Linked DNA regions of Coturnix japonica. The protein of the gene in region 1 interacts with the protein of each later gene in a biochemical or structural test. Links are inferred from orthologs where the notes say so. Each region holds a gene or a part of one and is shown in the gene's direction. Other genes may lie near its edges.

Region 1 (4,611 bases):
GGAGAGCAATTGCCCATGCCTTCCATTCTCTTTATTATTATTTCCTTCAATTTTCTGACCTATCAAACTACTTTTGCATCAGCCCATTGGTTTACCTTGTGTTTTTTCCAGTATCATAGTCTCGTGTGGGTTGGAGGGCCCTTAGAGATCATTGAGTCCAACCCCTGGGATTCGAGCCCCTGTGTAGCAGAGCGGGCATTCTACCACCTTGCACACCACAGGGGGATTCGAACCCAGGCTCTCTTTCACATCCCACTGCAGGTGGGTTGTGGTGGAAGCAAGCAATACCTGCCCAGTGCTTTAGCTTCAATGAGGTTAAAACACCAGCACACATTTATAAGTTTAAACACTCAAAACCACTTCAATTGAGATTGCCTCAATTTCTGTCACCCGAATTACCCAAAGCCATCCTGGGCTTCTACACCTAATTGTACTAAAGCAATCTTCCACTGGACAGTAACAGAGAATCAAAGATACTACACAGAGTTACAGGCTCATTCTTCCATTTCAGTCCTTACAAGGTGCAGACTTACAGTTTGTAGCATTTGGGGCTGTCCCGGCTGTGAATTGCATAACCTTCACTCAGCCGTGTGTCGGAGGCAAACAATGCTGAAAGTCTTCCCCAGCGATCGCCAGCACAGTCCTTAAAGAAGAGCATTCATATAATTCACACAATTGGCACAACTTAGTTCTTAGGCAAGCGATGAACAGCCAGAAGAATAACAGAATGACCCGGGTTGGAAGGGACCTCAAGGATCATGTAGTTCCAACCCCCCTGCCTGGCAGGGCCACCAAACATACACATTTACTACATCAGAGTTGCCCAGGCCCGTCCCAACCGGGTCTTTGGAACACCTCCAAGGACGGGGCATCCACAACCTCCCTGGGCAGCCTGTTCCAGGGCCTAACCACTCTCCTAGTGAAGACAGAAGGCAAAACGACAACGAGCAAGACGCAGCCCAGCTCACCTCCCCCCGGCCCATCCCTGCCCGCGGCTCTCACCCGCCGTTGAAGGTGTATGGCGAGAAGCGGTACTGCACAGGTCCGCCCAGCCCATATCCCGGCTCCGGCCTCAGCTCGGCGTATCGCGCTGCGGACAGCATCCCTACGGCACCAGCCCTGCTGTCTCACGGCAAAATGGCGGCACCGGAAGCGAGGAGGCGGCGCTCTACGAGGCACAGGCACCTCGTCTCGTCTGCTCTGGAGGTACCACGCCCCATCGGCGGTGACCACCCGGCCGCATGGAGCCGTGCCAGCCTTCGGGCGGCAGGGCCGGCAAGCACAGCAGGCTCTCGCCATGAGCACACCAGCACACCGTGTGCCCCGGTGGTGCAGTAGTAGCAATGCCGCTTTGCAACACCGCAGGCCCTGGGTTCGAATCCCCCCTGTGGCGCGTGTGGTAGAAGTGCCGCTCTGCTACACAGAGGCTCGAATCCCGGGGGTTGGACTCGATGATCTCTAAGGTCCCTTCCAACCCGCACCACACTGTGACACTGTGAGCACGGCACCACACGCTGTGCCACGAGGTGCGAGTAAAGCCAACACCCCGCAGACAACAGCCCGCAGGCCCCGCCCTCACTCAAGATGGCGGTAAGAGGGGCGGGGCGGATTCGTGGCGGAAGTGACGCAATCGAGGCGCGCCGGCGGCGCGGTCTCGGGGCGCAGCCTGTGTCCCGCAGTTGCGGTGCTGGTTGTGGCGGCGCCGCGCGGCAGGTACCGGCCGTTCCGTGTCCCGCTCCGCCCCGCAGCCCACACGGCGCGGGCTGTGCCGCTTATGGCGGGGGGGGTGGCCGGGCCGAGCCCGCTTCTTACTCCCCGTGGGCGCCGCCGTAGGGTCGGGGTCCTGCGGGCGGGCCCGAGCGGCGGGGAGGGGGGGAGGGAGAGAAGGGATGTGCGGGGTGAGCGGGCCGCGGGCCGAGCGGAGCGACGGGAGCGATCCCGGTACGGCCGTTGGTGCCGGGGGCGTGATGGCGGCGGGACGCGGTCACCGCCTCCCACACGTGACGGCGGGCGGGGAACGCGGCGGCGGCGGCGGCCTTGGGTTCGGTACGGGAGCCGTGATCGGCCCTTGCCCTGCACGTGGGCCTGGTACCGGGGCTCGGCGGCTGGGTTCGGTGTATGTGGAGTCCGCGCGGCGTGTTGGGCCTGAGGATGGGCTGCCCGTGATGCTGGGTAACGGCTGGGCCCCTTCTTTGCACGGTGTGCAACGTGGAAACGCCTTTGGGTAAAACAGCGGGTGGTTAATGTGATACTGAGTGCCTTAAGGACGAGAGAAAGATGGGCAGGCTTTCTTCAAATGTTTCAGTGCTGTGCCTTAAAATGGCTTAGGAGCTCTCTGTGTAAGTGTGCAGTTAAGCTATAAATGAATAGGAAAAATATCTGATAAAAAGGCTTAGCATTTCATAATATAGCTATGCAGAGAAGGAGCTGGGTGTTTGCAGACAGCAGGTTGGCCATGAGTGTGCCCCGGTGGCCCAGAGGGCCAATGGGATCCTGGGGTGCATCAAAAAGAGCATGGCCGGCAGGTTGAGGGAGGTGATCTCCCCCTCTGCCCTGCCCTGCTGAGGCTCCATCTGGAGCACTGCGTCCAGTTCTGGGCTCCCCAGTTCAAGGCAGAACAAGGAGTAGTGGACACAAACTGCAGCATGGGAAGCTCCGTACAAATAGAGGAAGACAGAGCTGCCCAGAGAGGCTGTGGAGTCCCCTTCACAGTAGGTACTCAAAACTTACCCAGCCACTCTCCTGCTGTAGGGATCCTGCTTTAGCAGAGGATTGGGCTCAGTGATCTCTGGAGGTCACTTCCAGCCCTTACAGCGCCATGAAAGCATTTCAGTTCTCTATTTGTATTGTTTCTTTCCATTGCGTGCCAATAGAGGTACAGGTCTTTGTTTAAAAGGCAAAAAACAAACAGTAAGTGAAACAACACCCAGAAGAATACTTTCGTTTCATGCATATACCTGGAATTGGCTTTTAGTTTCCCTTTTTCCCCTCGTGAAGTACGTCATTGCAATTCAAAATACATTAGTGCTTTGCTTTATGGAAGTAGATGGGAGGAGGTTTCCTAAACCTGAGTTTACCAGCAGTATTTTCATATAGCAAAATCAAAAAACAACTTTGGAAGGCCAAGCCTTAACTCTGCCCAGGGGGAGATGTGTGAGCGAAGCGTGGCTTTAGGCTCGTCTGTCAGTAGCTGGTGGAATTCAGTTCTGAAAGTCAATGCTTTCCCATCTGAAGCGATGCATGCAGGACTGGAGCTGTGTGTGAAGGAGGCCTTCGTTGTGGAGGCGGCTGCTCACGTGCAGTGGATGTTCACCAGGGGCACTAGGGCTGTAGAAAGAGATTGCTTTATATAAGGTGCATGGGTGTGTGCGTGCGTATGAGTGTTCTCGCATATATTTGTATGTGGGCATTTCTTATCTAACAGACCAGCTGATAAGCCTGCTTTTGTTTAAATGTTATTCTCAAGATATTACTTCTTTTCTTTTCAGGCCCTGTTTAGTGTTTTAGACTCGCAACGTGTTTTCTCTGGAGCTGATGTTTTCCTGACACGTTTTCAGCTTGGCTAAAAAGCTGCTTTGCTGGAATGCTTTAGAGGGTCAAAAACCCTTTTTGGTTTTAAATTAATTTCAATTAATTGAAGGAAATATTTCTGGCCTCACCAAAGAATAACCGGAATCATGGATCAGAACAACAGCTTGCCACCCTACGCTCAAGGCTTAGCCTCCCCTCAGGTAAAAAGGGATGATGTGATATGCAAAAGCGGTCTGAATTTCTTTGTGGGAGTGTTTTCTGTGTCTTGTATGTTATTTCTTTGTGTCTTTTTTTGTTTGTGTGTTTGCAGATCTGAAAAATTCTACTGTATATAACTTACTCAGTAAAAAGCAGAGATGAAAAACCATTTATATATAGATAGATAGATAGATATGGGTATATATAGATATATATCCAGAGGTTTAAGAAATACACTGATATATTTATGGTTTTCATGAAGCTGAAACATTACTGGCATGTTGAAAATAAGAAGGTTCAGGGGAGACCTCATTGCAGCCTTCCAGCACTTGAAGGGAACTTGCAAGCAGGAGGAGGGGGGCTGACTTTTTAACATGGTCTAATAGCAGTAGGACAACGGGGAATGGCTTTAAACTAAAAGAGGGAAATTTAGGTTAGATGTTAGGAGGAAATTCTTTATTCAGAGAGTGGTCAGGCACAGAGAAGCCTGTGAAGCTTCTCTTGGCCAGAGAAGCTGTGGATGCCCCATCCCTGGAGGCATTCAAGGCCAGGTTGGATGGGGCCCTGAGCTGGTGGGTGGCAGCCCTGCCTATGGCAGAGGGTGGGACTGGATGGACTTTCCCTTCCAACTCAAGTCATTGTATCATTTTAACTTTGTTCATTGCTTTTGGAATCCTTTAAATTGGCTTATATGTAATGGACTACAGTTGTGCTGTGAATGCATTTGCATTCTAATGATTGCAAGTAGGAATTGTGGGTCAAAGTTGAGACGCACTTTCCAGGTATTGTAGGAAACGTACCAGCGTCGCTGACTGGTGCTGAGAAGTGTTGGAATTGACAGATCGATTGAGGTTGTGATTCATGTTGTGTAAGAACTGAATC
Region 2 (4,086 bases), on another chromosome or scaffold:
TCTGCCTCCTCGCTCAGTCCTGCTGTGATTTGCTTTGTTTTTCTCTTTTTTCAGTGTTTGGGTAGGAATTGTTTTGCATAACGGAATGAATGTAATAGACATGGAATGGGGTGGGGGGGATCTAAATGTTTCATACTGTGCAGGCACACAAAGCGTAACAGCATGTTTCTTGAAAAAGCAGACTAAATAAGAAATGATACACTTTTGTTCCATGTTAGCATAAATGTATTCATGATACTAAATATTCCAGAGAAAAACATTTGGCTGGTTGATCCTTAATTAAGAGTATATATTAAGGCATAGTGATTTCAGAAAGCAGTGCAAAGATACTTCTAACATTACAATGTTACACTGTTACATGTACAAAGATACATTCTAACATTAAATAAAAACAAAACCACCAAAGCAACAACAACTAGCTGCAGCATATAGAGATAATTAAATGTAGATGCTCTGACCATTGTAGCTAGGAACATGCTTTTTTGTTTTTTCTGGATAGTCCTGGCTTGTGATCTTAGGGAGTATTGAAGGATGTTAAAACTGAGTGTAAAGAGTTTGCTTTTGCCTAGTGTTCTGGCTGTCCCCATCGTTCTGTCAGAGTCTTTTGGACACTAAGCAAACCTGAGCAACAGACTGCTTCTGGAGGACAAACAGTTGCCCAGCATCAGATGAATAGCACATGAGATTTTTAGTGAAAACATCTTTATTCCTTTGCTGCCTAAAACTGCTGAAGGAATCACTGGAAAGTGCCTCTTGCCCTTCCAAGATAGGTTGACAAAGCTTTTGAGCAAAGGGATTGTTAGTCTGCATTGAATCTGTTGCTTTCAAAGGAATCAGCAGCTGAATGTTCCTTAATGGTGAATTCAGTGTGGCAGATAAAAGTATTCATAGGAGTCTTTCAGTTGTTAAAGTAAATAGAGAATTTTGGAAAGTATCACCTACAGAGCACTTGCTCAGTGTTAACTGATGAGTTTCATATACCTGACCCATTCTTAACTGAATAATAGACATAAGAATAACATATTAGCATATGCTGTATTGAAGATGAAATGAAAATACACACAGCTGAAAAGATTAAATGAGTCATTGAGGTTCCCTGCATGTTCTTCCTTATCCCCTTTTTTTCCCTAAGCAATAAAGCCATTCTGACAAACTCCTCCTATTTTAGCAGTTTCTTATATTTTAGGTTTTCTTGTATGTTAGGAAGAAAATAAATCTGTGTTGCATTTCATTTTCTCAAGGAACTGCTTCAATTTCCCTTTAAAAATACAAATTAGCCTATAAATAATGAAACTTATTTGGGCCTTTTAATAATAGAATCCAGATATCGGTGTGCTTTTTCTTTTTTGTAAATGTAGTGTTATTAATACCAGTGAGGGCACACATAGTAAGCATGTGCAATTGAAGTTTCTATTGTCTGTGGCAGATCTCTGAAAATAGTCAGCTAATGTTGTGGTAGAATGGCCTTCAGGGTAGTAAAACTAGAATTAGAAGTCCTTGCTTGTTGTGCAGCTATTGGATGACAAGGATTGTTGTTTACTTGAGAGATACTGAATGTGTGTCAATCTTTGGCCTTTGATTGATTGGAGAATTTGAGTTTCCTGTAAGTAAGGTAAAAGATGATGCCCAGAAGGTCAGATTAAAACCTGTTTTCTTCTTTACTGTTTGTTTTGTGTTTTATTTCCCCCCCTTTTCCCCTTTTTAAGTAATAAAAATAATCTTGACGTAGCATTTAATTATAATTGAAGATAATTTTCTGCAGTGCAACTAGGGCATCCCTGAGCATCAACAGTGTATGGAAGTGAATGGAAAATGGTTCAAGTTATTACTTATTTCCCCTTTGTTTCCATCCCTATTTCTTTTGTCACAGGCAGTTCCATTGAAATCACAGATTTTTGTTGGGTTATAGTGAATAAAATTAGGGACAAACAGTGTTTGGTTTAAAGGAGAGAAGATAATAGAATCTGTGCTGAAAATACTGCCAACTTTATGTTTGGAAGTGTTCTGTGCTGCATTTGGGGAATCCTTATGCATTGGACTACTCGGAAGTAAAAACTTAGGTGAAAGTAATTCAAAAACAATTAGATCTAATGAGTAATTTGTCAAGGTAATTGCCCGGTTCCATGTAGTTTCAGCATAGCTTGTCAAATCGCTGATAGAAGTTTTGAGCAAAAGGGAGGACAGGTGTGATAAGAGAGAAGCCTGGTATTCAGTGCTGCTGTAATTGGCATGTCATGAGCTGTTTTCATGGGGACCTCTGCTTTTTGGAAACATGCTTTGATTTGGTAATAATGAACTGTTCAGTGACAGTTATACAGCTTTTATTTGCTTAAAGTTTATCATTTGTTGTTCTGTGCTCACAATGAATGCTGTGCTATGAACACCAATATTTGAGGTATCTTTAGATGTTACTGGTCCTATTTGATGATCTTGAGGTTTATTTATTTTGTTAGAGTTATATTTAAGTTGGGTTAATCATATACAAGTGACTATCTTGCCTGGATAACATTTCGGAAATGATGCACCTTGCAGAGCTATCACCCCTGTGAAAACAACCCAAATTTTAACAGATCTGTAGTAACTGTGTATGGTAGGGATGAGTATTCAGGTATCTGGGAGCCCAGGAATACAGCAAGTTTGCAAAATTTACCACATAATTCAGAACAGAAAGCTTTTAAATTGTAGCTTGTAACGTATAGAGGCATTCCTTTGTTGTATCATACTCAAGTGAAACGCCATTAGCCAAGAGTTACTTTACAGAATGGGTTTAGTGGTATTAGCAAGGAAAATTTTACATGCTGTCAGAGCTGTGTTTCCTCTTGTGAGATTTTGAGTGCCCCTAGCAAGTTACTAAACATTTTATTATATCTGATTTACAATAACCTGTTCCAAACCTTGATGAAGAATTAAAGATGTTTGTTAAAATTTTTAACTCAAGTAAAAACCTGACAGTGCTGTCAAATAATTTGTACACTAATATTAATAAGTTCAAATTCATAATTTGAAAGAAATCAAGGCATCTGAGTGGAAGCATAAGAAGGTTTTTACAAATGCTATATCTAAGTTTGCAAACATCCGTTATGTGTTCAGATAGCCATGGTAGGTCTTATTGATTTGTTTAACAGTGAGTATGTTGGGAAGAAAAGCAAAATGATCTGAGATGAATTTTACATTTTTTCCATGTGGAACAGAAGTCACTTAGGAAAAACATTTTGCATGTTAAAATTTGAAAGTTGTTTGTAATGCAAGACAAATATTTGCCTTCATATTGGGAAGGAACTTCTGTTTATTTTTTGTTTGTTTGTTTGTTTTGCCACAGAGTAAAGCCATCTCCAGCTGAAGGAGTCAAATCCAATCCATCCAAGAGGCACAGGGACCGTTTGAATGCGGAATTGGATCGCTTGGCAAGCCTTCTGCCTTTCCCTCAAGATGTTATCGCCAAATTGGATAAGTTGTCTGTGCTTAGGCTCAGCGTCAGTTACTTGCGAGCCAAGAGTTTTTTTGATGGTAAGAGTTGGGAATGTTTTTGGTTTAGGACTGCCTGTGTAATGCCGCTTGTACTGCAGGTTGTGTTCACTACTGAAGTACTCAAAATCATTAACTTTTCTGTATTTTAGTGGAACGTACAATTGTATGGATATATACAGTATATTTGTATAAAGTAGGCTTTCTAGTTGCTTGAAAAACAAACAGAAGTCCTTAAATTTCATCAGTCTTTTGAAGGTTTGCATTTGGAAGCAATATTGCCCTTAATGAGTCTTCCAGTCCTTTTTCTTAAACTTTCAGAAATGATAAGCTGAGATTTATTATTTACCCCCTTGAAAATAGCCCTTATAAAGCCATTACAGTTGAGTAAATATCATATGAGTTCCAATCAGCTGTATGTTTTGCTTAATGGTGCATCAAAAGGATTTCATATAATACGCAATAACAGCTAATGCCTCTTCCCATCGTTTATTTTGGAGATGACTTCTGAAGAAAGTGGCAAAGTCTTGCCTGTGTTCAAGCTCTGATGGAGGCATCAAGATGACAGTTAAGGTTCTCCAGTTGTGTGGGCAATGTCTACTGACCACAGCTCTGGAAAGG
Region 3 (4,086 bases), on another chromosome or scaffold:
CAGTCTGCCTCAAACCTGTGGAGTTGCTTGGGGTGGTAAAGGAAAACCTGAGAAAGTTTGTTTCCTAGAATCAGTTGCTTTTCTTGCCAGAATAGTTCACTTAGTCTGCTCAGAATCATCTGGAACTTAACCTTCCCGCTGTATGCATCTGAATGTGTAGTGGATACACAGTTGAAACAAAATTGGAATGTGTATCTGTTCTAGAAATTTAAGATCTTCTAATTTCTAAGGAAGAACATCTGTGCTTTAAGAAGACTATTATATTGTTTCTTATGTTATGCTTACTGTTTTCTTTTTCAGTTGCAAATATTTGTAGTATGTTTTCTTTAAGAACAGGGTATGGTAGTCTGCAGAACTGTATTTTCTTCCTTCTTTCAGATTTACTTACCTGTTAGAGTAAAGAGAGCATTCTAGTTTGCACTGAAAGGAGAACAGAAAATAAAATCAATCTTTAGGGAGATGTGTAAAGTTGAGGGTTGTCTAATTTCATTTCTTCTCCTTTATTTGAATAGAAATATAAAGAGTGTATTGGATTATATCTTAGCTCCCCCTTCTCGGAGTGGAAACAAGCTGTAAAGGCAGCTGTAAACATGAGCCTTCAACGTATTTTGTGAAGAATAGGTGTCAAATAATAGAACTATAGGATAATTAAAGAAATAGACATCAGAATGTAGGCATTGTGGAAAAAGGAAGGAGAAACATAATATAAGAACAAACTGGACAGACTCTTCAGAAAGGCAACTAGACATTAAATTCATATAGACAGTTACATACAGAGGGATTTCCTACAATGTGATTATCAAAGGGACAGAAGTCCCACAAGGGAGATGCTATCTGGCTAGGCCTCAGAAATACCACAGCATTGGATAAAACTTTAGTGATGTGGCTACCTGTGCTTCTTGTATTTGTATATACTCATGTGGATGTTGTGTACTTTGACTTCAGCAAGGCTTTTAATGCTCTCTCTTGTAACATCCTCTTAGATAAGCTTTGGAAGTGGGGGACAGACAGGTGCCCAGTGAGGTGGATTGAGAACTGGCTGACTGGCAGAGCTCCGAGGCTTGTCATTGACATAGGGTCTATTTGGAACCCTGTAGCTTGCAGTGTTTCCCAGAGGTCAGACCTGGATTAAGGGATAGAGTGCACCCTCAGCAGGTTTGCTGATAATACAAAGCTGGGAGTAGTGGCTTACATACCAGAAGGCTGTGCTGCCATTCACTGAAACCTGGGCAGGCTGAGGAATTGGGTGGAAAGGAATATTAGGAGGTTCAAGTGCAGAGTCCCACACCTGGGGAGGAATAACAACACATACCAGTAAAGGGTAAGGGGCTGGCTATCTGGAAATTATCTCTGCTGAGAGGAATCTGGGTGTCCTGGTGCAGATTGTTGACCATTAGCCAGCAGATATCGATAGTATCTTGGGGTGCAATAAAAAGAGTGTGGCCAGCTGCTCATGGGGGAGTGTTCTTCCCCCTCTGCTCCATCATGTTGAAGCCAAATGTAGAGTATTGTGTTCAGTCCTTGGGCTTTTCAGTTCAAGAAAGACGGGGAACTTGTGTGGAGAGTCCAGCAGAGAGCCACAGAGATGATGAGGGGCCTTTAGCATCTCCCATATGAGGAAAGGCTGAGTAACCTGGACTTGTTCAGCCTGGAGAAGAGAAGACTGAGAGGGGAATCTTATCGATTCTTACAGGTATCTAATGGGTAGGAATGAAGTGGATTATGCCAGACTCTTTTCAGCAATGCTGAACAAAAGAAAAGAGTTGATGAACATCAATGGGAATACAGTTCCACCTGAATATGAGAAAATCATTGTTTTATTTGAGGGTGGCATAGCACTGGAACAAGCTGCCCAGAGAGGCTGTGGAGTCTCCTTCTCTGCAGATATTCAAAACCTGCCTGGACACTTTCTTGTGCAACCTCCTTTAGCAGAGAGGGTTGCACTAGATGATCTCCAGAAGTGCTTTCCAACCTGTACAGTTCTGTGATTCATTTGTACTCTGCCTGTACAATTTATCTTAGGAACACACCTCGTGTTTTATAAGTAGGAATTAATGTTCGAAATACTGTCTTGCTTTAAAGGTTTAATCTTGGGTTGCATAATTAACAATGATAAATAGCAAACAGCCATATAAATGGTTCCTTTCTGGCACAGCTGCTATGGCATGGTATCTTTTCATGGATGAAAACAGAATACAGTGCTCTTTAATTGTTACAGTTGTTCTTTCAGGAAACAGCTTTCTAAACTAAGCTAATTTTAAATGGTGATATCTGTTCTTTGATTAATTTGGTTTTTATCTTACTACAGGCCAGATCCTCCAAGTAGTTAGAACTGCAAATGGAGCTCAATATATCATTCAGCCACAGCAGCCAGTTGTTCTACAGCAGCAGGTCATACCACAAATGCAGCCTGGTGGCGTACAAGCACCTGTTATACAGCAGGTAAAGAAAAGAAATTAATAGGTACACTTGAAAGTAAAAACCTGAGAGTAGTTATTAAATGGGCTTGCATTTTTTTATTGTCAGATTTAAACAGTATACAAAGACAGAAGTAGTATATTTAGAAAAGGATTGTGTTAAGAATGTTTTCAAGGATGAAATGTTTTGGAATATTGTTTCAAATGTTTTTATTCTTGTAAGATTCAGACTAGTATTGGTTTAAAATTGCTGTTGTGTGGGTCCAATGACAATTATATTATGTGCACAATTTTAGTCAGTATCCTTTCACAAAAGTATTGATCGGTTAAATGACTTTGTGTTGCAGCATATGTAGAGGAAAATGCCTTTAAAAAAACCCAAGCAAGTAATCAAAAACCCAAAGCATATAAACAATCTGCACCAAACCTGGACATTTCATTACTGAATACAGTATGTTGTTTTGCCAGGATTTTTTTTCAGTTACAAGCTCAACTGTGCGTCCAGGTTGTGTAGGCATTGAATTTATTGTTGTGTCACAGTTCTGCAGCTTAAACCTGAATAACAGTCTGTAGCAAATTTCAGGTTAAAGTATTCTGTAAAGAAATTTTAAAAATAATCTCCTATTTGAGTTTAAACGCTACTCTACTGTGCTTGGAATTTGAGAGCAGAAAAACACCAAGTAATTAGAGAAGCTTTGTTATTGAAGATTTAATTACCTGTCTGATGTAGATGGAGTATTAGTAACTTCTTTCTCTAATTAGTCCGAGTCAGATTGATATGCTTAATTGTCTTCTGTAAGTGCTGTGGTAGTCTGGTGTGTTACCAAGCACTATACTATTCCATCAGGTTTTGGCTCCAATTCCTGGAGGGATTCCCCAGCAGACAGGAGTGATTATTCAGCCTCAGCAGATCCTGTTTACAGGAAATAAAACTCAAGTTATACCTACAACAGTGGCTGCCCCTACAACAGCTCAAGCACAGATTCCTGCAGCTGGTCAGCAGCAGCCACAGCAACAACAGGCACAACCACAAGCACCACTTGTTCTCCAAGTTGATGGAGCAGGAGACACATCATCTGAAGAAGAAGAAGATGAGGAAGAAGACTATGATGATGATGAAGAGGAGGACAAAGAAAAAGATGGAGGTGAAGATGGCCAGGTCGAAGAGGTAAAATTAACATCATTGCAGAATGCCTGTATTTCATTTTTAATTTTTTCCCTACAGTACTTAAAGGAAAACTGTAATTCTCCAAGAATGTTACCTTCCCATAATCTCGAATATGTCAGTGCTATCTGTGTACTGTAGTTTCTTTATATCCCATACTGACGTGGTGGAAACTGTTATTATCAAAGCACCTTGAAATGCAGCTGGTGTGGCAGGGGATAACAAAAAAAAAAAAAGTTAATTACGATGAGTGCCTTTTTAAAGACTTCAGCAGTATTATTTCTGGTAGTAAGGAATGGTCAGCCCTGATATCATGAATCCTTCATAAGCAAATGGAAATAATCAGCTCCATTTGGGACAGAGTGCTTTCCAAAGCCAGGTGGTAGGAGGGATGACACAAGGTGGGTGTCAAACACTGAGAGAACAAATAGATGTAGTGGTTTGTCATTTTACTCACTGTTAGATTGCCTTATGTTATACTAGAAGGGGCCTGAGAATTAAATT
Region 4 (4,086 bases), on another chromosome or scaffold:
GGAGGTATCAGAGTATTTTGAAGCTGTAAATACAAGAACAGGTTAGATCTTGTGTGTTCCAGGTAATAGAGGGAAAATAGGTGAAAATTAAAAATTTCTGGTGTCCTGAAAAAGCAGAGTATGACTATAGATGTCAGTATTCAAAATAAATGATAATTCACAGTGTGAATGATGGAGCCTTCGCTTTCTCTGTCTGACAGAAATTGCAGAAGATTGCTTACAACCTAACAATACCAGTCCTGCAAAATTAAAAGTGTTCTGTGTCAGAAGAAGGAACCTATTTCATTTTCTTCTTGTAACTTGTGGACTTTTTAGAGCTAAAGTTTCTAAAAGTTCCTCCCTTATTTATTTTTTTCCTACCAGGCTACATATGCTTTTGGAGCAAGTACAGTTAGAATTAGGCATAAGTACATTTGTCAGTCTGTCAGTTGGCAGGCAAACATTTCTATTTGCGTTTGATAAACTGGAAAATCTGGGGGAATATAAATAGAAATGGTCAACTGTGCTATGAATAGTGTAACGGTTTCATTTTTTGTCAATCATTCAGGCTTGATCGTCTCTTTATTTTACTGGACACCGGTACAACACCAGTAACAAGAAAAGCAGCTGCACAGCAACTCGGGGAAGTAGTGAAACTGCACCCTCATGAACTGAACAATCTCTTATCTAAAGTAAGCATCTTAGGGCTTTTTGTCTTTCTGTTTTTTTGTTTTCTGATACTGCTGTCAGGACTGAAATAGAATAGAATGACTCTTCTGGGCTGTAGTTTCTGTGGATAGAGGCAGCTGAAAATACAGCATTTTTGTGGAGCTCTCTGAAAAAAGAAGAAAATTAAGAGTCTGGGTCTTTAAAGGCGTGCTGTTTTGGTAGCTTCTGTGAGGGTTGCATAAGTCAGGTTTCACTTTGCACACAGTGTTGGTATTCAGTGTTTGCTGTAAGTTCAGATTTTCTTCTACAGAAAATCCAGATCTCTACTGCCTTTTAAATGTTTCACTGCCGCTTTTAAAAGAGTGTTGCTTGTGTGGTACAGGATTGAAATTATAGGAAGCTGCATGTCTTTACATAGGCTGGAAAATGGAAACAGGTTTCCATTAGTTTGAGACTGTAGTCTGGCCAAGTCCAGTAAAAACACCAAAAATAGTTTTGTACCTGACAGCTGGAGATGGCTGCACGGCCTCAGTTCTGCTTTTATCGAACAGGTGCTCTCACCACAATTTATGATGCCACCAAGAACGGTCAGGGAATCATGAATATCAAACCACTTCCAGTGAAAGAATACTTCTTCCAGATTTGAGGCATGAAGGGAAATCAGTTTAGAGGAGCATAAGTTGTTGCTAGTGATCCATTTTGGCCTTCTTGGGTAAAATTTTGAAGCCTGTTGTTCTTTTTGGAACAGTTTTAGAAAGAAAAAAAAAATTCAAGCCTTGTTTGGTACCTGGAGGTACATTGTATAAAGTGAAATCTACATTGTATAAAGCATTGTTAACTTTGGCTGATCAACTAAATGTAACCTGCAAGTTCTTAAGGCCTGGCTATGCCATGGGTTCTGCTAAGCAGCAAAGGTCGCTTATGGTTTGCTTGGTGGTTTTTTGGTTTGTTTGTTTTTTGTCCTTTGTTTTAATTCTTTTTGAATCTTGTCTTGATCCACAGCAGTAAAAGTGTTAAACAGACTGTAATAACTGATAGATGCTCTAAAAGTATGGTTCTTTTTAACAAAATTTAATTTATTTGTTAATTTCTCTTTAAAGGTGTTAGTGTACTTAAGAAGTACAAATTGGGACACCCGTATTGCAGCTGGCCAGGCTGTTGAAGCAATAGTGAAAAATGTACCTGAATGGAATCCAACTCCGAGATTAAAGCAAGGTGCTTCTTAAATGAATTATGTAGAATAGTACGTTGTTTATCTGATGCAAACTGACTGTGATATGAAAAGTCTTAAGGCAGCTGTGCTGTTTAAAATGAACCTGCTTTTTTGTTTTATGTTCATGGACTGTGGTAACCTCTTTAGCTCGAGATGTTCGTATTCACTTACAACACTGTGCATGACCTTTGCTTCTGCTCTGTACCCTCAAAATGCTTGACTCTGTATGATTAAGAGGAATAATAACTGGTGAAACAGGGAAACTTTTAACAGGTCGATTTTGTCATATTTTGCAGTTTCTGAAAAAACCTTTCTGAGAGGTGACGTGGCAGCTTGCTGCCATCTGTGCTCATTTTGTATCTGGAGTTGTTGTGATGTTGCTTTTGTTGTAACAGAATTCATATCTGCTTTGAGGTGCTCTCACACTAGTTGCATTCAGCGCCTCCTTGTTCCATTACTGCTAAGCTTTATTCGCTGCCTTTGTTATTTTTATAAATGTTTGCTATATTTGCACCCATTCAACATATTCCTTTTCACCTTGAAATGTTGCCTCCTCCTCAGGTTCTCCTCAAAAGACAGCTGCTCTATCTTTTGGACAGCTTTATTGGTTCTTTTCGGTGCTTTTTCTCACTTGTGTTCTCCTTGAGATGCACATACCTGCCCATAGTATATTTGCTTCTTTAGACTACTGGTATTTATATGTAGTGGCAGAATGATGTGCTTCATCATGTTTTTAGTGTCCTTCCTGATGAAGCTGAGTGCCCAGTTGGCTGTTCTGGCTGTTCTGTTGCTGCCTCATAAGCTGGTAATTACAGAAATCTAACTGAAGTGCCTTCAAAATCTTCATTCACTGTTAACTACCAGTTCTCACATCAGTGCCGTATAGACACAGCTTAAGTTCTCAGTGTTGCACTTTATCTGCCATCTTGTTGTTCTTAAGAGTCCTTCTAGGATTTCATAGTACTACTGTGACATTTGGTTACCCAGAACTGCTTAATGTCACATACATGATGGGAGAGTAGTGCATAATGAAATCTCGGTCCTGTTGTCAAAGACACACAAATTGGTTCCAACATTCAGCTTTAACCTTTCTTTAACTAGCTTTCAGTATGTAAAAGGAGGCTTCATCCAGTTCTGTAGGAGCCTAGTTCCTTCAACTTTCAGTATGAAAACTTGTCAAGCAGTTTTGAATTTCTTAATAGATCTCCTCTATCTGCATGTTAGAGCTCTTTAAGGATGTTGATAATCATGTTAATGAGAGGTTTTTTTCAGGAGCTATGCTGACTCTTTCCTGATATATCTGTATATTGAGTAGCTTTATTTATAGACTCTGCCATGTATATGTATAATGAAATGTTATCTCCCTCTTCAGGTCTGAAGAAATGTAGGTATTACTCATTTTGTATGGTGCTCAATATGCAATCAGATTTATTCTACTGTAAATGAACAAACTTTCATAAGTAAGCATGAGACAAATTATGAAAATAAAAGCTGTGTTTCTTGTAGGCAATAGTGGTATTTGTAGTGCTGGTTCAATTCAGGATGTGAGCACAGCAGACTATGTATGAATGGACACTATGCATGACTGAAAGCCATGAAACACACGAGTACTGAAATATTGAGGCAAGGGAATACTTTGGAAGTGAATTCATGACCAGGAAATGATAAGAAGCCTTGTGAGGATCAACCATCTTATTGTTGTTGAACTGGACAGTATTTGCAGTTTGTCTGCTTTCCTGGCCTCTTATCAGAGATGCCTGGCTGTTGGTTATGTGAGGCAGAGCTGGCATGGTACTTAGGTCTGAACTATGTGTGAGCCATGTGCAGCTCGAATTGACGGTGGCCTTATGTGTGCATGGAAGATTTTGTGTCTGCCATTGATCAAGATTTAAAAAAGCTAAACTTACCAAGGGAGAAACAAACAGTAAGATTTGTTTTTTATGAAATGGAGTCTTTGTTTTGTGAATGAAAATACTGTATGCCTGATGATTCCTCTGCAGAGTGAAATTATGTCTTTCTCTCTGACCGTTATCTTCTGCCAGGATTTTGAGAACAATCTTCATGTTTTCCTTAATGTTATTTTCAATGTTTGCTTAGAACCGGGATCAGAAAGTCCTATGGAAGATTCACCTTCAACAGATCGGTTGCGTTTTGACAGATTTGATATATGTCGCTTGTTAAAACATGGTGCATCTCTCCTTGGATCTGCTGGTGCAGAATTTGAA
Region 5 (4,086 bases), on another chromosome or scaffold:
CTATCAACCCTCCACTAAATCGTGTTCCTGAGCACCACATCCAAATGGTTTTCAAACACATCCGGGAATGGTGACTCCATCTTCTGGAGAACAAATATTCATTTTATTAGAGTTAGATATTAGAAAGCTAGATTTGAAGTTTGCAGGTGACCGCTGGATGGAGACATGGTGCATAGGGGCTTTTAAAAGCATGTCGTACTTAGTCACATTTAAAGGTGAAGGACTCTGTAAAACTTCAAACGTGGGTACAAGAAAGACAGAAAGTGAACAGGGAAAGTTAATGGTGAAGTTGAAGTTCATACATTAAGGATGTTACAGATGTTATTATGAAACAGATGCACGTCCATTAAAACCTTGTTAGGAGATGTTATCGTATTTCTTTGTCCATGTAATTTGACTTCAGTGCTTCAATGGGAGGTAAAGTCACTGCTTAAGAACTCAATGGTAAAATCCTTTTTTCAAATGATATTCTTGTGGTATTGGGTTACCAATTGTGAGGTGGATCCTGTCCTGGCTAATGAGAGATAGCAAGGAGTTGGGCTCGTGTTGCAGCCTGGGTCTGTTTGTGGTTGGGTGGCAAGATGTCAGCTTCTCCTAGAGAAACCATGCTAGATTCTGTTCTTGACTAGGATGCTCTTTGGCTTTCTTTATTTTTTTCCTTAAAGCTGACACTAGTCTTGTTTTTTATCATCCAAAGGCTCAGCTTCTCGAAGGGAAGTTTGATAGGAAAGAGTGGTATGTGGTGTTTTCAGAATGCTTGTATTTCCATGTATCTGTGCCTGGAAGAAAACCAGTGTTACATGCAAGATATGCCTGCTATAGTGTGAGGATAAAGGGGATCTGGATGTGACTACGAGCTCCAGTAACTCCTGGTGCTGCTTGATGGAGAGGTTTGAATCTTCCCACACAACACTAAGATAATTGATTAAATCTCTCCCATGGTTCTCAGCAGTAGTTAAAAGCCTGTACTCTTACAGAAGGGTTGTTTTTATTAGTGCCTTGTAGGTCTGAATATAAGCTTATAAGGCATAATTCAGGAAATTGTGCCTTAGGTTTGTTTGGAAAATGTCTGCAGGATTCTGCAGCTGTCTAATCAATGAGATTGGTGCAGAGAAAATGCTTTCCATCAGCTCTCAAGTGCCATCGATGATCTCTAAGATCCCTTCCAACCCGCACGAGACTATGATACTATGATGATACTATGATATCCACAGTGAGATGTGCTTGCTTAGAATCTCAACATTCATAGAGATTCGTTTGTTTGTTTCTGGGATCAACGATTAGAAATGTCTCGACTTCCAAAGTTTGTCTTTTTAAATTACTTCTGTGTTGCCAGGTATGACTTCAGGTCAGTCTTACTAGTGCTACACTGTGCCTAAACTCTGAGTAAGTAGAGTTATTCAGCTTGAATAAATAAAGCTCCTGGCTGGATTCTGCATTGACACAGCTTTATGGTGTCTAAATGTTGCTGACGGATTCAGTCGAAACCAAGGTTTAGCTCTAAGGGATTGTAAAGTTGTTGAAAATAGGAACAGAATGAAAGAGATTTTCAGGAACAATGTCCTGTAACTGTATTCACGTAGACTCTGGCTTCTTTATGCATAAGTTTTCAGTGCTGTTGTGGTTAATTCATACTGAGCCATCCTTTATTGCTAATGCTTTTTATCTTTACCCAGTTTAACGTAAAGCTCCATTGCAAATGCCCTTTGTGAGGCTGCAGCCATTATGCATGAGGCGTGCAGAAGGCTGACTTGAGAAGTACTCGCTTCATGGCTAATTCATGCTGGGATAAACATAATTAAATCTCCTTGAAGGGAAGTTGGAGCTGGACATCCAGGCACTGTTTTCTGTAAGCACTTCTGCCTGCCAACAAACAGACAACAGATTTTGTTCGGTTCCTTTCAATTTGGGCACCGCGAATAATATTTGGCCTTAAGACAGAGGAAGAGATAGCTGAGGCAGGGAAGTGTTTTAAAAGAAAAGAATAAGAATGTCTTTTGTATTCAGGAGACAAAACCAACAAACCCACAGTGCAAGGCAGATTTGCTTTGTAGTTGTGCTGGCTGTAACCCTTAAGAGGAATGAACCTCAGCTGCAGAGGAAGGTTAAAGAGAAGTAAAGCTTCAATGAGTAACGGTGTTTGAGGTTTTTGAGGGGGAAGCATTTTCTGTATGAAAGATAAAATCCAAGTGGGTTACTGTGCTAAGTGATAACAAATCATTGAGCAGTCTCACCTGATGGAAGTGAGTCATCAGCTGGGGGTAAACATATAGAGCTTGATCATTTCAGGGGGTGTATTAGTGTGGGGAGTACAGAGAAGTACTGTAAAAATACTGCTTGTTAAAAAGGATATTATGGGTTTTATGATAACGATGGGAAAAAAACAAGACACCCATCCAGATCCCTCCTTCTGCTGTTTTTTCCCCACTTTTCTCTATTTAAAACTTGAGTGCTGGGGAGGTACGTGCTCAGTGTGGGAAAAATCTAACAATCTCTGAGTGAGATGGGCAGAATTTAACTATATTTGACATTAGCTCACAGATAAAAATTACTGAGCAATGAAGAACAAACTGCAGATGTGGTATTTTTGTTTGTTTGTTTTGTTTTGTTTGACTTGGAGGAACATTTTGCTTGAGAAATGGTTATTCATACCCTAACGCAGAATAAAGGCTCTTATTGAGATAGACCAGCCAAAGGTTTATTGGATGTTAATTGGAAGTACAAACCCTCGCGTGTTTCCTAAGTATGTATAATACTCATGAACCTTCCATGTATACATGCATTGAGTGGAGGGAAATTCTTTTATAGACTAGAGATAGGCTTGAAATAGTGGAGGAAAAACATGCAAAACCTTGTGAAATGATAGTAAACCTTTGTCCTGTGCCATATGAAGAGTTGCTTCCCTTTGTTACTGCCACTTGTTACATCCACTTTTGAGGGCTGTCTTAAGGCCTGTCTGGTAGCTTTCTTCTGCTTCTACCAAGCTAAGTTTCATCACTGAGGAAGCTGTCTGCTGGAGCTCACATTCAAGGCAGCTTTCTTATTCCAGCTCTGAGTAGAACTGCAACTGGCTGAACGTTAAGGTAGCAATTTGTGTGCTTCTGCTTTCCACCATTTTGTTATGAGCTTGAGGTATCACTTCCTAATTCTATGATTGTTGCACTGACATCATTAACATTTAAGGAGGGAAAATGCCACATCCTTTTCCTAGCTGTAGGAAAGATGCATGAAAAGTAAGATTTCTGACTTTAGAAGTTAAATATCCTTTGTTTTGTTTTGTTCCAGTGTACATGAAGGTCAAGATCTGAAGCTGCTATGACTGACCCAGACGTCCTCACTGAGGTCCCTGCAGCTCTCAAGCGCCTTGCCAAGTATGTTGTGCGTGGTTTCTATGGCATTGAACACGCTTTGGCCCTGGACATTCTCATCCGAAACCCCTGTGTGAAGGAAGAGGACATGTTAGAGCTCCTTAAATTTGATAGGAAGCAGCTGCGGTCTGTCCTCAACACCCTCAAGGGTGACAAGTTCATCAAATGCAGAATGAGGGTAGAGACGGCTGCAGATGGTAAAACCACCCGTCATAACTACTACTTCATCAACTACCGCCTGCTGGTGAATGTGGTGAAGTACAAGCTGGATCACATGCGGAGGAGGATCGAGACAGATGAGAGAGACTCCACCAATCGAGCCTCCTTTAAATGCCCCATTTGCTTCAGTACTTTCACAGACTTGGAGGCCAAACAGCTGTTTGACCCCAGGGCAGGTAAGAGTGGTATGGGTAGCAGTGCTGGGTGTTAAAGAAAGGTGGTAGTTTTGGTAATGGATAGGGTAGTTCTTATGTTATCAATACAGGCAAGTAGTAATTGTGGTAAAATGCTTGTAGATCGATATACTTGAGTGATAAGAAGCGGAGAAATGGAGGTCTCATCCCAATCAAATTCAAGAATGAAAAAGGCAGTCTGTCCTTTTTGGTGGCTTTTGATATGACCTGATCTTGCCATTAAACTGCATGACTTCTTGTTTGCAATGAGGACGTATAAATTGCTGAGTTTTATATGCAGAAAATTTATCATGTAGATATGGGTG
Region 6 (4,881 bases), on another chromosome or scaffold:
TCCCTCTGTAGGAATCCAAAGCAGCAGTCTGGGATGCTGAATGTGTCCCAGCAGGAACCCAGGGGCAGTGCTGTGATCAAACCCTCCCTGAGGTCAGAGCAGGGATGGTTTGAGTCCAGATTTGCATCCTCCCAGCTCCCCTGTGTGCTCCCACCACCAGCAGATGACCGTGCGTGGCCTTAGAGACCCACAGGCTGTCCATAATCATGCCCACAAAGGGATAACGTTGGCCAAGCCTGCAGCTTGCAGAGCCCTCTGACCCCCCCCAGCCCAGCAGGAGATGCAGTGCAGCACTGGCAGCTATCAGGGCTCAGCACCCATTGGCAGCTTATCACCACCCGCAGCTGTGCCAGGTGGGATTCATCCGCGGGTGGGGAAAAGCCCCCTTTCCCCCCTCAGCATTTGTCGCAGTGACTGTTTTGCCTTTCATTTGTCTTTGCATCTGCCCTTTTCAAGTGCCACAAGAGCTGAAAGCCTCGGCGAATTGGCACGGGGGAGGTTGGGGGGGGGAGCCCGCTCCCCCTGCATAAACTGCCGTATGAATGAGGGAGGGGGGAATAAAACAAACCCGTGCTGCCCCCAGCTGCCCCGGCCTTTGTGAGCGCGGTGGGAGCAGCTGGTGCCGCAGCTGCCGCTCACAGCCCGCGGCCCCGGAACGGCCCCGCAGCCGGGGCGGGTGGGACCGTGTGTCCGGGCGGGGCGGCACCAACGGGCCGCATCTGGCGTGTAACTGCTGCTCGTACCACTCGCTAACGGGGATATCGCCGTGACCGGGGTGCGGGTTATCGCAAGGGCCGAGCGTTAATTAACAGCGCTCACCGCCGCCAAGCGGAGCGGTGCTGCCGTTCGGTGCTGTGCTGCAGGGCTGGGCCGTGGGCTCCGCAGCCACAGGAAGAACGAGCAGCAAAACACCGCTCAGCGTTCACTACATCCCCGCTGTGAGGCACCGCCCGCACCCAGCGCTAACCCGGCCGTCCCGCTGAGCCCCGCTGCGGCCGCAGCTCCAACTCCGGCCCCGCAGTACCGAGATGGGGGGGTGTTTATGTCCCTGTGGGTTGGGCTCCGTTGGAGGCACATTGAGGTTATCAGCGCCCCGCACACGGGATACAGACGGCGGGAGCCGCCCACGCCACGTCCCGCGGCTTTGACTATGGGCTGCCCTGCCCTGCACCGCCCGCACCGCCACGGACACGCAGCTCAGCCCCGCAGCCCGCACAGCGTCACGGGCAGCTCTAGCCCAGCAGTGCAGGGAGCGCCCGGCGCTCAGACCCGTCTGTGAGTGACCCCACGCGGGACCAGCTCCGCGCCGCCCTCGGCCCCTTTAAGGCCCGGCCGCGCTCCTCACCCACGCGGCGCCACGGCCGCGTCCCCGAGACGCCTCCCGATTGGCTCCTGCCTCAGCTCGGCGGTTCTGATTGGCCGCCTGTCAGCGCGTCCGCCGCCGCCGCCCTTAACCAATGGGCGGCCGGCACCGCCCCTCCCTCCGGCGACCTCGACCAATCAGACGGTTTCCCCGCACCCCCGCCTCAGCGCTCGGCGTTGGGCGCAGCCAATGGGCGGGCGCGGGGAGGTTGGCGCCGCTTTCGCGGCAAAAAGGATTTGGCGCGCAAAGGCGCGCGGGGCCGGAGCGCGGGACAGCCCGGCACAGCCCGGCACGGCCCGGCACGGCCCGGTACAACCCGGAACGGCCCGGAACGACCTGGGGAACGGCCCCGCGGATCGGCCCCGCGCCCGGCAATGGGCCGCGCCCCCGCCCCGGCCGCGGCCCCGCGCCCCGCGCCGCCCGTCACCTGAGCCATGGCTACGGCGGGCGGCGCGGCGGGGCTGGCGGCGCTGCTGGGCGGCTCCTCCCCGCACCTCCTCATCGTCTCGGCCTCCGAGGAGCCCGCGGGCGGCTGCCGCCCCGACGCCGACCTCCTGCTCTTCGCCACGCCGCAGCCCTCCCAGCCCGGCCCCGCGCCGCGCCGCCCCACGCTGGGCCGCCCGCCGGTAACCGCGGGACGGGGGAGGGAGCGGGGCTGAGCGGGGCTGAGCGGGCCGCCGGGCGGGGCCGGGACGTCGCGGTGCCCACGCGGGACCCCCCCCCCCCCCCCCGTCAGAGCCCGGCCGCGCGGGGCACCGCCGCTCCGGAAGCCGCCGCCGAGGCCGCCTTCCGCCCGGCAGCGCCGTTGCGCGGGGCTGCCCCCACAGGCCGGGGCCCGGCCCTGCCGCCGCGGTGCGTTCCGCGTCCCCGCGCTGAGGACGCCCTGTCCCGCAGGTGAAGCGGAAGCTGAACTTGGAGACGGATCACCAGTACATCGCCGACAGCCTGCCCGCCGCCCGCGGCAGGGCCCGCATCCCCGGCAGAGGTACGGCCCCGCTGTGCTGCCGGCCTGAGCCCTTCGGGATGGGCCTCGTCACCTCCCTCTTCCCCTCTGCCACCTGCCGTCCCCGTAGAGCGCTGGGCCCTGCCCGGCTGCTCGCTGTCAGGGCTCAGTCTCGGGGCCCTGCAGCACCATCCCCCGAGCTTCCCATTGCCAGCAGCTGCCGGGTGCTGCTCACCTGCCGGGTGTGGCGGTGCTGGGGCTGCCCCGCGCCCCACGGCTGAATCTTGCACCTGTCCCCAACAGGGGCAAAGTCTCCTGGGGAGAAATCCCGCTATGAAACCTCACTGAACCTCACCACCAAGCGCTTCCTGGAGCTGCTCAGCCAATCCCCCGATGGTGTGGTGGATCTCAACTGGGCGGCCGAGGTGCTGAAGGTGCAGAAGAGGCGCATCTACGACATCACCAATGTCCTGGAGGGCATCCAGCTCATCCGCAAGAAGTCCAAGAACCACATCCAGTGGATGTATGTCCATCAGGGTGGGGGGATAACACCGAAGCTGCCAGGGTTGGGTGGAGGGAGGGAGGTTGGGTTCCACCCTGAGATCGGGAGGTGATGGCAGCAGTGGGGTGTTAGTGCTGGGGGTGACAGCCCTGTGTACCCCAGGGGCAGCCAGGTGGCCGCGGGGGCTTCAAGCCGACAGCAGCTGCTGGAGAAGGAGCTGCGGGATCTGCAGGCGGCAGAACGGCAGCTGGACGAGCTCATCCAGACGTGCACGGTGCAGCTGCGGCTGCTCACCGAGGATCCCTCCAACCAGCAATATCCTTCGGTGCGGGGCCGGGATGGGGCTGGATGGGCTGGAGAGCTGTTGGGGAATGGAGCCCCCCCCTGCTCTGACACTTATGGTCACTGTGTGGGGTTTTGGGTGTGAATGTGGCCCCGTGTCTGCTCCTTGACCCGCCGCACCGCAGCCTACGTCACCTGCCAGGACCTTCGGAGCATTGTGGACCCCTCTGAGCAAATGGTGATGGTTATCAAGGCACCCCCAGAGACCCAGCTGCAAGTCTCAGACCCGGCAGAGGTGAGTGAGGGGTCTCTCCTCCCCATGGATCTTCACAGCCCTCGGTACAACTCCACCTTGGCACTCCATGTCCCTCCTGTCCCCAGGCTTTCCAGGTCTCAGTGAAAAGCACTCAGGGCCCCATCGACGTGTTCCTCTGCCCCGAGGACAGCTCAGGGGTCTGCAGCCCCGTCAAGAGCCCCTTCAAGGCACCTGCTGAGGAGCTGTCCCCTGGCTCATCGCAGCAGAGAGCCTCCCCGCTCCTGCATCCTGCTCAGGATGTCAACATGCTGCTGCCTGGTGAGCAAGGTGGGGATGGGGATGGGAATGGGATGGGAATGGGATGGGAAGGGATGGGATGGGATGGGATGGGATGGGATGGGATGGGATGGGATGGGATGGGATGGGATGGGAATGGAATGGAATGGGGGCACTGCCTGGGCTCTGTGGTGTGGGGACAGTGTTATCACTGTTGTTCCAGTTCCAGGAGCACGAGGTTACAGGGCTGAGGTCTTGGCTGTGTGTTAGGAGGAGCCTGACCTCCATGCTCATGCAGTGCCAAGTAGTTGGACTCAATGATCCTTATGAGCGAGTCCTTTTTAAATTGGGGTATTCTGTGATCCACCCAGCTGTGGGCTCTGCTCCTACCCAAGCTTGGCAGAGACAGCCCTGGATCTTTCTGCTTAGGAAAGGACACTGTCCCTCTTTGTCCCACCACTCAGCAAGTGGTCTGAGTCACGCTGCCCAGTTGGCCTGGATGTTTCTGATCACTCCTGATGCTTTGTGTGCCATCTGCATGGCCTCAGTAGCTTAGAACACAGCAGTTCTGGTGTGTGCTGTGGGGCTGACAGCCTCGCTCTGTCCCCACAGAAGCACTGCTACCAGGCACAGCACTGCCCTCCAAGTGCTCCACAGAGGATGTGAGCCTGTCACCGCTGGCCTCCATGGACACCCTTCTGGAGCAGGCCAAGGACGATTTCTCGGGCTTCCTGGCGGATGAGTTCATTGCCCTGTCACCACCACAGGCACAGGATTACCACTTCGGCCTGGAGGAGGGTGAGGGCATCAGTGAACTCTTTGACTGTGACTTTGGGGACTTCACGCACTTGGACTTCTGAGGCTCTTGTCCTGATTTCAGAAGCTATCCCACTGCCAAGGGGGGGGACGCAGGCAGGGCTGAGGACAGCCACGTGGTGCCCTGTGCCTTGGTGTGGCTCTGGTGCCTTCCTGGGGTCCCTGTGCTGCAGCAGCCCTGGGCCCCCTCCATCCGTCCCCTCTGCAATATTTTCTTCCCTCCTATCCGGCATCTCTGTGCCATGATGGGACAGAGCCCAGCTTGGTGCTTGAGCCCACATTGGGGCCTACTCCTGTCCCAAGAGGAGGATGCTGGGGAGCAAGGGGTCCCCATTGGGTGCCCCCCCACCCACTGCGGGCAGCCATAGGGTGCCCGTGGCAGAGCTTTAAGCAGTCCTGTGTATAGATTGGATTAATTTATTATTGTTCCTTGGGGACAGCGT
Region 7 (4,086 bases), on another chromosome or scaffold:
TGTCTCCATGTTTAGCAGCTTAAAGCAACCTAATTGGCCGTATATTCACAATTTACAGCATTAGTGTTTTTTGTAATTGAGCAAGTGACAAGTCAAATCTTCCACATGCAACTAAAATCCATGTTCGTTTTTAATGTGTGTATCTTGTATCTTTCTTTTCTGCCTAATGTGAAAGACAGAGTTTCCCACTTCCCCTAGGTATTTCAATAGCAAAAACAAAACCAGACAATGAAACACTGTTTTATGCTTCAGAGTCCCTCATTCATGCCGCCCTTCCAGGGCCGTGGAATTCTACCAGCAATTTTCAGAACTCTATAACTCTCTGGCACTGAGAAGCAGCCCAAACAACCCACCTTTTTGTTCTGACAACACAGGAGTTTTTCTCGAGCTGTATTGTTTCTGACAGCTCGAGTAGAACTTGATTAATATAGTGCTTTCCAATTTCAAGGTAGCACTTGACCCATGTAGGTAAACAGAGGGGCTATTATACATTAAAAAATAAATCTCCTGCGGAGCTTGGTGTTAAAAACTTCCTTTGAAAAGGAAAAGGTTGAATGAGAAACAGAAGACTTTTTTTGTGTGTTCCTAGCTAGGCATTGGTCCCAGACAGAAGTGTTCCCTGGTGTCATTTCTCTTTGTCTGGGTCTGTGCAGCATCAAACTGCTGCATAGTGTTAGCACTGGGCTTGCAGTGCTTGGCCGAGGGAGGTTGTCTCTCTCTGTGGGCAGGTGATGTTGCTGCAGCATCCTGCTTCCTCCCCAACACCATTATTGCTTAGAAAGCTGCTGCTAATTGCTAATTTTCTCCACTTCTTTCCATTCTGAGGAAGAGTTGGATGTGCAGCTTTCAGGCTTCATACAAAATGCTGCTGTCAGTGCCTAGGGGAGTGCCCCAGCTTGACTCTCACTTGGAAGGTAGTTTTAACAGAGGAATTTATTTGCATGCTGGGTGATGTTATCAAGGTCCCTGTTCCTGTAACGGGAGCTCTCTCCATTTTTTTTTTTCACATGTGAGAAATGGCCCACGTTGCTTTTCTGGCAGCGGTACAAATGTGCAGTCAAGAATTTGTAATAAACTGCGTGGGCATTTGGCAAAAATGGGAAAGCCTACACTGAATTCTTGTAGAAAAAGAAGTTTCTTAGCCTTAGTCCTCCCCCAGGCCATAGAGTGCTGACCTGGCTCTGCCCCATCGCCTATCCTGTCCCCGAGTCGCCAACACCTGTGCAGGGACTGCTGAGCTACAGGTCCCCCTTCTGCTACACAACCATTTTGTTTGTCTCTACATCACTAATTTTATATTTTAATTAAGCCAAAGAAAGCTGCAAAGAAGCGGGAGCCAATTCAAGCCAGCACAGCAGGAGAGGCAATTGAAAAGATGTTAGAACAGAAGAAAATCTCAAGTAAAATTAATTATAATGTGCTAAGGGACCTGAACAGCAAAGGAAGTAACACACCAAAGAAAGAGGATGACAGCACTGATGACAGCACCAACACCAAGAAGCTGTCAAGAAGAAAATCTATTGCCAGTAGGAATATAGCCAGCCCTGTAAACAGTGTGGGAAAAAGGTACCGCAATTGTTCATTTCTATCTCTGTCTGTGAGACTGTCTATGTATCTTTCTGAGCCAGACAATGTAGGTACTGAAACATTTGTCTGAGGCTAAAATAATGCTGGGCTCTTGTTTTTATTTATTTTGCCTGCAGTGTCACAGTGGAAACTTATTTATAGTTCTCGTATCAAAGGTCTGTTTTAGTGTGAGTTAATCATTCTGGAGGAGAAGAAAAAAAAAAATCAATGGAAATTCATAAACATCAATCTTTGGGCCACGAACAGCTTTTCTTCATATATCCCTGACATTTGGTGTCCTCCCTTTCTGGGTTGTCTGTATCTGCTGACATGACACTAAATGCTCGAAAGCTTTGGCTTTTTGCTTCATTTGAAAAATACAGTTCCCATCTGTTATGACAGCTAAGCTGTTTTGATTAGCTTTTATTTTAGTTTTGTTCCAAACTTTTGTTGTTAATTGGTGACACAAATATAAAGCTTTACAGTAAATATGCTTGTCGGTTTTCTGGTCTGCATTTGCAAATGTTTTATAGTGTGATGAAAGCTACTATTTTAATGTGCAAAATATTCAGACTTGCTGGGCAGATTTGTGGTGTGCTGTAATGTGTAGAAGGAGATGGATGTGTCCTATCTGCAATATTCAACTGTTTTATTAGCCTGCAGTTCATGAAATCATGTCGGATGATCATTTGGATGATCTCTCTCTATAGTGGTTTCTTATTTAGTTGCTAGATATTAATTTACTGCCTAAAAGATGTTTTTTGCTTCCAAGGCCATACACCACCAGGAAATCCAGACATTTAATATAGAAATGCTAGATGGTGTCTTCATACTGTTGTTTGGAGAGTGAAGGGCAGGGGGTGGATGGAGGGAGCAGAGGAGAGCTGGGGTTGGTGATGGCACTGCTTGCAGCAGCACTGGAGTGGGCAGAGCTCATGGGAGGGGGCTCAGGGCTGTCAGAAGTGAGAATGAGGAAGGAGCTGCAGCTGGAGGTGCTTCAGATATGATATTTTCCCTTCCTAAATAAAGCAGCTCTGGGGAGAAAAAGGCAACCAGAAGGTGTGAGAATTCATCTATTGGCAAAAGGAGTGAGGATGTAGCAAACCTGTGGAGGTAAAGCTGGGTGGGCTGGTATGGACATGGCCATACACAAACCTATTACTATGAACTGGTTTGCACTTGGGCAATTACATTGGCTTTGGCCAATGCTTTTAACTTCTCAGCCAGAATTGTGTCTACCTTCACTGTCACTGGGATACAGATTTTTGCAATGTAACAAATGTCTTTTGTTTTTCTGCTCTTCCTTCTTTATTCTGTGTTTTATCAAAATGGCTTCATCCTCATTCAGCTCCTCACCTCTCTAACACCAACAGCTTTCCAATTCATTCAGTGAGGATTTTAGTTTCCTATGTAAGTTGCTACTTCAGGTCATGTTTAATGACCTAAATACACATATTTTCTAATAGAAGGAAAGTGAAGATGGATTCAGGATTATCTCACAGCATTGGCTTATGGGTTTTTTTGTATTTAACAGGCATAGTGAGTCATATTTCTGCAATTTTTAGTGAAGCACAGCTCTGATACAGTTAGCAAGAATGGAATGCTGTGATGGGCAGTATGGGCTTGTGAGGGACCCATTGCTTTTCAGGACTTAGCAGTAATATGAGCACCTGAGATGCTTCAGCACATCCATCCATGTCCCTTTGAGGTCTGCCTTTCTGCAGCACTGGGCACTTGGAGCTCCTGTTGAAGCCAGCAAGTTAAACCCTTAACAGGTGTTAAACTCTTTGGAAAATCATGCCATAAATATTTGATTTAACAGTGGTGCAACTTGAAAAGGTCTCTAAATAAATACACAAATCAGTATTTTCCAAAAGCAGCTAATAAAATGTGTTTATTTTTCCACTTGAGTGCCTAAAGTACGTCCTTAAGATGCATAACAGTTTCCTGATGATGATTAGCAGATCTTAGATACAATGAATTTTGCAGCAGAGCACTTGAGAGAAGGTTGGTGATACATGCAGATACGTGGTTAAGATTTTGCACTCCAGAAGTAGGCAGCATTCCTGATTAAATAATATCAAGGACTTGGCAAACCATTTGTTTTTTATTTCTTACTGTTAAAAGATTTATGACATACATTTGATTTTATTTATTTAATTTTTTTGGCTGGTAGTCTTTAAAATGGCATGCATAAATTTCTGTGTTTCTCATTGTTCTAATATGCCATGCATTCATTTCCTTTGTTCAGCATTGTTCCTCTGAGAGCTGAACGGCTAAATACTTTCCCAGTGATACAAAAATAATGGCAATTTATATGCAATTAATAATAATAAAAACCAGGAACATTGCTCATTAGAAAATGAATGAAGCACATAACGTAGCGTTATCCAGGAGGCATTTGTGGAGTTCTTGTTAACTGTTTTGGTTTGTAGTGATTTACAGTCCAGCCCATTCAGCTTTGTATGTCTGAAATATTTAGCAAGCTCTGTGTGACTGCAGCAGCACCTTGCATAACTG

What was found.
Region 2: the proteins of TBP (region 1) and AHR form a complex in vitro, tested with the Homo sapiens proteins (2 studies listed by BioGRID). The link is inferred for Coturnix japonica from reciprocal best matches to the Homo sapiens genes TBP and AHR.
Region 3: the proteins of TBP (region 1) and GTF2A1 form a complex in vitro, tested with the Homo sapiens proteins (7 studies listed by BioGRID and IntAct, with this or other methods). The link is inferred for Coturnix japonica from reciprocal best matches to the Homo sapiens genes TBP and GTF2A1.
Region 4: the proteins of TBP (region 1) and BTAF1 form a complex in vitro, tested with the Homo sapiens proteins (2 studies listed by BioGRID). The link is inferred for Coturnix japonica from reciprocal best matches to the Homo sapiens genes TBP and BTAF1.
Region 5: the proteins of TBP (region 1) and GTF2E1 form a complex in vitro, tested with the Homo sapiens proteins (3 studies listed by BioGRID). The link is inferred for Coturnix japonica from reciprocal best matches to the Homo sapiens genes TBP and GTF2E1.
Region 6: the proteins of TBP (region 1) and E2F1 form a complex in vitro, tested with the Homo sapiens proteins (2 studies listed by BioGRID). The link is inferred for Coturnix japonica from reciprocal best matches to the Homo sapiens genes TBP and E2F1.
Region 7: the proteins of TBP (region 1) and BRF1 form a complex in vitro, tested with the Homo sapiens proteins (2 studies listed by BioGRID). The link is inferred for Coturnix japonica from reciprocal best matches to the Homo sapiens genes TBP and BRF1.

Annotation. Positions count from the first base shown.
Region 1 is NC_029518.1:36,564,266-36,568,876, reverse strand, and holds the start of TBP (TATA-box-binding protein), read left to right. Parts: upstream 1-1,603; 5' UTR 1,604-1,713; intron 1,714-3,488; 5' UTR 3,489-3,677; coding exon 3,678-3,731; intron 3,732-4,611. UniProt on the Homo sapiens protein: The TFIID basal transcription factor complex plays a major role in the initiation of RNA polymerase II (Pol II)-dependent transcription.
Region 2 is NC_029517.1:26,403,427-26,407,512, forward strand, and holds part of AHR (aryl hydrocarbon receptor), read left to right. Parts: intron 1-3,319; coding exon 3,320-3,507; intron 3,508-4,086. UniProt on the Homo sapiens protein: Ligand-activated transcription factor that enables cells to adapt to changing conditions by sensing compounds from the environment, diet, microbiome and cellular metabolism, and which plays important roles in development, immunity and cancer.
Region 3 is NC_029520.1:37,063,367-37,067,452, reverse strand, and holds part of GTF2A1 (transcription initiation factor IIA subunit 1), read left to right. Parts: intron 1-2,308; coding exon 2,309-2,442; intron 2,443-3,264; coding exon 3,265-3,585; intron 3,586-4,086. UniProt on the Homo sapiens protein: TFIIA is a component of the transcription machinery of RNA polymerase II and plays an important role in transcriptional activation. TFIIA in a complex with TBP mediates transcriptional activity.
Region 4 is NC_029521.1:18,219,632-18,223,717, reverse strand, and holds part of BTAF1 (TATA-binding protein-associated factor 172), read left to right. Parts: intron 1-547; coding exon 548-671; intron 672-1,748; coding exon 1,749-1,863; intron 1,864-3,958; coding exon 3,959-4,086. UniProt on the Homo sapiens protein: Regulates transcription in association with TATA binding protein (TBP). Removes TBP from the TATA box in an ATP-dependent manner.
Region 5 is NC_029516.1:71,485,010-71,489,095, reverse strand, and holds part of GTF2E1 (general transcription factor IIE subunit 1), read left to right. Parts: intron 1-3,282; 5' UTR 3,283-3,315; coding exon 3,316-3,763; intron 3,764-4,086.
Region 6 is NC_029535.1:1,932,900-1,937,780, forward strand, and holds the start of E2F1 (transcription factor E2F1), read left to right. Parts: upstream 1-1,782; 5' UTR 1,783-1,797; coding exon 1,798-1,989; intron 1,990-2,257; coding exon 2,258-2,348; intron 2,349-2,609; coding exon 2,610-2,829; intron 2,830-2,970; coding exon 2,971-3,123; intron 3,124-3,270; coding exon 3,271-3,385; intron 3,386-3,471; coding exon 3,472-3,664; intron 3,665-4,234; coding exon 4,235-4,482; 3' UTR 4,483-4,881. UniProt on the Homo sapiens protein: Transcription activator that binds DNA cooperatively with DP proteins through the E2 recognition site, 5'-TTTC[CG]CGC-3' found in the promoter region of a number of genes whose products are involved in cell cycle regulation or in DNA replication.
Region 7 is NC_029520.1:47,935,269-47,939,354, reverse strand, and holds part of BRF1 (transcription factor IIIB 90 kDa subunit), read left to right. Parts: intron 1-1,309; coding exon 1,310-1,566; intron 1,567-4,086.